Linked DNA regions of Danio rerio. The protein of the gene in region 1 interacts with the protein of each later gene in a biochemical or structural test. Links are inferred from orthologs where the notes say so. Each region holds a gene or a part of one and is shown in the gene's direction. Other genes may lie near its edges.

Region 1 (4,356 bases):
AAGAAAACACAGAGATGGCTGCAGAGAAATTTAGCTTATCAATGCATTGTGTCACTTTCTCCTCAATACTGACCATTCAAATACCAAAACTGAACAGAATATATATATATATATATATATATATATATATATATATATATATATATATATATATATATATATATATATATATATATATATATATACTGTATATATAGCAACATAAAGCATCAGAGTACATGGGGTAATAATGGTGGTTGAGCAGTAATTTATCATTTATTATCACAGTAATTATCTGTAATGGGTACATAAAGTAAATTACTGTAATTTATTCTTTGCACTACAAAATTTCATACAAATCCTGCTCCTTTTACAGTAAAATACTGTTTCCTTTTATTACAGCAAAACACTGGCTATTTTACAGTTATTTACTGCATAATCTACATTAAGGGTTAACAGTGTAGTTGATGTGTTTATTAACATAACAATGGATAATACATATATTACAGTATTATTTTTTTAAACCTTTGTTAACATTGGTTAATAAAAATAAAGTTGTTTATTGTTCACTGTACACAGCATGAATTTGGATGTTGATGCATTAGTAAATGTTAAACTATGATAAACATATGCAGTACACGTATGGTTCATTATTAGTTCACGTTAATAAGTGTATTAACTAATGAAGCTTATGTATATGCATATAATTTAAATATGTCAAATATTTATAAATAATTTATACAAATTTTAAAAAGTTTAATATATAAATTTAAAATAAATATAATAAATGTAATATATAAGAAAAGCCTGAAAAATAATTTAGAATAATAGTAGCCTTTATAATATAAATAAAATATAAGATAAATAAATGTAATATATCTTATAACAAACAATAAGAAAGAAAGAAAGAAAGAAAGAAAGAAAGAAAGAAAGAAAGAAAGAAAGAAAGAAAGAAATTAAGAAAGAAAGAAAGAAAGAAAGAAAGAAAGAAAGAAATTAAGAAAGAAAGAAAGAAAGAAAGAAAGAAAGAAAAAAAGAAAGAAAGAAAGAAAGAAAGAAAGAAAGAAAGAAAGAAAGAAAGTGCTGTGTCTGTCCTGTCTCCAGAAATAAACTCTCCTCTTCTTTGCTCTCTCCGCTTCCTCCGCGCGCTCGGAGTCGGACTGCGCTCTTGCTCTTGTTGGCCCGCGCGCCTCGGTCGGACCCTGCAGAAAGTGGGCTTTGCTTCTTTAAGACTCCCCTGAAGTTTGAGATGCACACACGAGGGCTCTCGGCTTGGGTGGTCTCTCTACTTTGGTGAGCTGTTGCTAAGCAGCTAATAATAGTCGTGTTTGCTGAGTAATTTTTGCCCTTCTGGAACCAATCAGAGCGCAGGAACCCCGGCCATCTGACAGCCCCAGGGGCGGGCTCTCGAGCGCTTTGGCCACGCCCCTCCTCCTCTGTCTCCGAATGGAGAGTGATCTTTTTTCACATCTATTGAATCTCCCAGAGATCGCCTTGTCGCGCGGCCTGAGGAGGGACCACATAGATCACAGAAATGCTTCAGCCACCGAGGGATCGACGTTTGCAGAGCATCCACTGATCGCGCGAACTTTCCAGCGGACGCCGTGAAAGTGGGCAATTGTTGGAGACCTCCAGATTCGCGAAATGTTGCAATGGAAGGCGCAGACTCTGACTCGCCGTCTCAAACAGGAGTATGAAGTGCTTCGCGGATCTGGGATCAACGAGAGACAAACTTGGTTTTCTTCGGATATCACTAAACGCTCGCGGGGAAATACACTAGCGCGGATACCGAGACGCTCGGCGCAGACCTTGCAACATGGCCTCGGCTGTTAATGTCTCCTCCGAGCAGGAAAACAGAGACCCCGATCGGCCGAGGGTAACGCGGAGAAATAGGGGCAACTATCGGACCGCCGCGGCGGATTTGGAGTATTTGCAGCGGCCGAGCTATTGCGATGCCGCCTTTGCGCTGGAGCAGATATCAGAGGTGCTTTTATGCTTGCCCTGTTGGATTTTGTTGGGAATGCGCTGACAAAGTGCTCAACTTTAGTGAAGTCGCTAGGTAACGGGATAGCCACGGGACCGATGCGGGACCAACCTGTAGCCGCAGCGTTTGCGCTCCGACCAACCTAACCTAGGCTATCTGTCAGAAGCGAAGCTGAGCTTTGAAAGTGAAGCGGAGGCTCTTCAGATTTGTTGGTCAAGTTCGCCCTGACCGACTGATTGAAGCCCCCCTCAGATAGGATCTACACGGGGAGTAGTTTTCGTCCCGCACGATCCATGTGGCTGCCCTCTTCCGTTCACAAATATTGTCGTAACTCCCTCTGTGATGGCTGCAGCACTTCCCAAATCGCATCACATCGCGTCCCTTCTGCTATGCGACCCACGTGCATCTCCGGCTTTGGATATTGTAACCTGTTTCTGTGCTACAGTGTCCAAAGGATGCAGTCTGTCACATTGTAGCCATAGTCAGTTTAATGTCTGATAGTTTGTGCGTGGGTCTACAACTCATTTGAATTATACTACACAGCGAGAGAATAGGAGTAGTAGTATGGCAAGCTGTTTTCACATTCATTCATTACAACTTGGCAGTAGTTGTTTTTGTGTGTCCAATTTCATTAGCAGAAAGATCCTCTTTACACATGGTGTGCAGCTTTTTTGATACAACAACTAGCAGAAAATGTTAAATTCAATTGTCTAAATGGAAGCAAGCACTTTCAACCTCTTCTAGAGGTTGTTAAAAACACATTCAGTTGGGTTGTTTGAATTATTTGGAACAGCCACAAAACATGACCTGCTCTTTTGCCAATTGGCCTAATGTTTAAACACTTTGATGTGTTTCTGACATACACGAGCCAGATGGGATTTAAACTTTGCCTTTTCCAGTAAGTTTGGGTCGAAGGCAAAAAAGCACAATGGCATCAACAGCGCTCTGTGTAGATTTGCAGCTATGAGGGCAGAAAGGAAAGCTGCTGCTCTGTATCATTTTTGGTAGCCTCTCTCTGCTAAATTGTTCAATATTTTTTGTAACATTAGATTGAAAGTTCAGAAAACCTTCATTTGTGCACACACTCAAAATATCACAAAAGCAATTGAAAAAGCCTAAACAGATTAAAACACCAGGTGTGAACCGGAATGTGTCATCCTGGTCTACTGGTTATCCAGGGGATAAAAACTCAACTTAATATTTGGCCAAATAGCAGTTACCACAGAGATGTGTTTTGCTTTTGTGATTCATATTAGACTAATATATTTTACCAGTGTTATATATATATATATATATATATATATATATATATATATATATATATATATATATATATATATATATACACATATACATATATATATATAATTTTAGTGTTAATAAAAAACTAAGATTATCCTAAGTAGTTTATTCAGCTTGCCATAGTTCTTACTCCTTTGCTAAGTCACAATCAAAATTTTGACAAATATGTATTTAAATTATCGGTGGCAGTGGCTCAATATGAACTACGAGTTTCCATATAGTGAACATAGCAGCTTTTCAGGCATTTATAAGACAACTTACAATGTAAAAAATGCAGGGTTTCACGCTATTCCTTCATGTTGTTCCAACACAATTCGTTTAAGTTTACTTGATTGTTTATTAAAAATAAAGTGGATTGAACATAAAACTATTAAGTTGTCCCAAAAAAAGCCCCAAGAGTTGCATTGAGTCAGCTCATTTTAAATAAGTCATTTGAACTAGTAAAAAAAAAAAAAAAAAAAAAAATATATATATATATATATATATATATATATATATATATATATATATATATATATATATATATATATATATATATATATATATATATAAATACAGTTAAACTAGTTACAGGAATGACTATGTATTTTGGCTAAAATCTTACTGACAAATGAATCTGATTGTACACTAGTGACTAATAAACACAAGTATATAATACAGGTGCAAATGGAATAGACTGTAGTAAGTGATGGTAGATACTAGCAACTAATGAATTGTTACAGATGAAACTGAAGTTGGACTGATGTCTGAGTATTTTGGGAGACCACTGACACTGGTTATAACAGGGTAGTTACATACTATTGAAATAGTGACCCTAAATTATTATATTAAATAGTTATTACAAGGAAACTGTCACATAAAAAGATACTAGCCAGTCACTATTAGATTATTCACTAGTAATTACAAAGTACTTGTTATGTAAATATAGTATTAAAGAATAGATGTTTAAATGGCTTGCCATATGACAATGTATGCATGTTTCAAGGCTATTTTTAAAATCTTATGAGTGGAATAGTAATTACATAACCCATAAAACCTAGTTGTTTTAAAAATACAATCACTTTAAAGGGATATTTCTTATAATTCTGTTA
Region 2 (2,570 bases), on another chromosome or scaffold:
GCTGGAGAAATTTATGTGGATGTTAGAGGCTAAGGATGTGTGTGTGTGTGTGTGTGTATAAGGGGGGAGAGTCAGAGAAAGCGAGCAAGTGAGTCAAAGCTAGGAGGGTATGTGTGTGAATTATTACAGGTATTAATTTGGCTTAGTGTCACAATTTGCCAGCATATTTTGAATAGATTTTATATAACCTCTGAAAGACCGTCAGTTAAGCAATCACATCACGTCCCTTGAGCAAACCTGTGCTGCAAGAATAATGAGTAGTTGCTTCTCCTCTTGGACGCAGTGAAAGAGTCTTTTGTGGTGTTTTATTTGACATATTGGTTAAGTGTTGGGAAGAGTTGTCCTGGTGAAGGCCAAGCATCTCAAAGCAAGGTCCCGGGAAAGGTTAGCACCCAAACATGGCCTGATATTCCACAGTTCATACCTGCACCTCAGTGAGACCTACTGCTCTAAATCTCAAGGTTATAATAATGAACACCACTAACCGAATTACTTTTTTTTTACCCAATTTCATTGTATGCATTCTGGCCTTTTAAAGCAAAGACATGGCCCCTGATTCAGTCACACCTTTCCCTAGTTGGATCTATACGTTTTAGATCAGTGAAGCGAATGCAGTAACTTATAAATTTTTCATTGAGCTCCTTGAGCAGATTATCCTTGCATGCAAGGCTGAATTATTTCAAGTGTAAATATGGGTTTCTCATAGTCACATTTGTCTGGATGTATCTATTAGAAAACATACTGGATTAATGATATCTAAATCTCTGATTCCTGAGATGGTTGCTCAGAACTGACTGACATGGCTGAAAATGATAATAAGATCAGCTAGTTTATGACACCCTTTAAACTAAACTAACTAAACTTGTCTGGATGTAAACAGATAATCAGTAAGCAATATAATTTGGGAATTGTTTGGAGATTTAGGATGAATTAATAGAAACGTTAAACAACGGCTAATTTCCTTTTGCCCCATTCTTTTTGTCTTTCTATTAGAGATGCAAAGACAAGCTGAACTCGCTGGCCATCTCTGTAATGAACCACTGGCCAGGGGTTAAGCTGCGTGTGACAGAGGGCTGGGATGAGGACGGTCACCATTTTGAAGAATCACTCCACTACGAGGGAAGAGCTGTTGATATTACCACCTCTGACCGAGACAAGAGCAAATACGGGACACTGTCTCGCCTAGCTGTGGAGGCTGGATTTGACTGGGTCTATTACGAGTCCAAAGCCCACATTCATTGCTCTGTCAAAGCAGGTAAGACCTCTGGAATGACAAAAAAAAAAAGAAGGCACAATGCTTCACACTCCCTCTCATGTTAAAACAGGAGATTTTAAATTAGAAAATGCTTTTATATATTTGTATTTATTTATTTATTTTTTTTACTGAAGTCTACTAAATCATGAAATATATGTTATTGTAAGAAATCTCTAATGCATATATTTATTATTGTAAATAGGCGATACACAGATCTTACAAAAATATAAAGGTTATATTTCTATCTTAGGACCTGCTTTTAAATTTCTACACCTTAAGAAAGTCTTTTGAAAGATCATTCTGTTAAAACGAGTCACTTAGAAATACTTGCCAGGCCATATAATAACTGATCTTACATCGCCCCTCTCTGTCTCTTTGAAGGAAGCGCTTATCACAAGATCACTCTCTGCTCTGCAGCTCAATGCGCATTGCACAGACACTAGAGATGCGCCAAAATCTAGGGTTTTACACACGAAAATTCGAAAGTAAAACAATTTGTGTTTATTATTATTGGAGCATGTGACATTTAGTGCGCTATTACGGTGTAATTCTCGTCTGGATTTTTTGTCTAATAAACGTATTATTATTGACGGAAGCTAAATTAGCTGGAACGCATTGACAATCCCTCATAAGCTTTCGCCAGATCTTATCATTTAAATTCTAAACACATTTACAAATACATTACCGGCTTCGACGAGAACCAGCTCCAACCCGTTCGCCAAATCTGTTTCTCAATTGTCACCATCTTTATTTCATGCCCTAGAATCTTAAGAGAGGATTAGACGAGAAGTCCATTCTATAGCTCTGTTTACCGACCCAAGAGATCGGAATGTGAAGAGATCCCACAAGGCCCGAATTATTGTCATTAAGCTTGACAACGGAGAGCATGATGGTTTGAGGAAAATGAAAGGAAAGAAGAAGAGGGCATTGATTGACTACCCCTAGCATTTCTAATTTACATTCAAATCTACACCATTAGAGCCTTAGAAAAAAAAAGTGTCTGGGGCTGAGCAAATACTATTTGAGCCTGCTTGGGGTTTTTCTCATTCTATAAGTGTGAATTGTCACATAGAAGTTTCTGCACCTGAGCAAATATGAAAGAGGCGCAAGGGAAAGGCAGAAGTGTCCTTTTCCAAGAGTGCTCTGTACACAAGCTGCATTAGAATGACAATGTCCGGCCTTTATTGGTTTTTAATTAGAGCAGTCCAGGCTCTTTCCTCCTTCATCTCACACAAAGGCATTGAAGTTTTTTAGAGAAGCTTTACAGCCTAATTCCCGTTGCCACGTTTTCTTTAGTTTATTCAGTCTTTAATTC

The links.
Region 2: the proteins of ptch1 (region 1) and shha are reported together in a solved structure, tested with the Homo sapiens proteins (5 studies listed by BioGRID and IntAct, with this or other methods). The link is inferred for Danio rerio from reciprocal best matches to the Homo sapiens genes PTCH1 and SHH.

The regions. Positions count from the first base shown.
Region 1 is NC_133183.1:32,041,708-32,046,063, forward strand, and holds the start of ptch1 (protein patched homolog 1), read left to right. Parts: upstream 1-1,406; 5' UTR 1,407-1,795; coding exon 1,796-1,963; intron 1,964-4,356.
Region 2 is NC_133182.1:41,234,967-41,237,536, forward strand, and holds part of shha (sonic hedgehog protein precursor), read left to right. Parts: intron 1-993; coding exon 994-1,255; intron 1,256-2,570.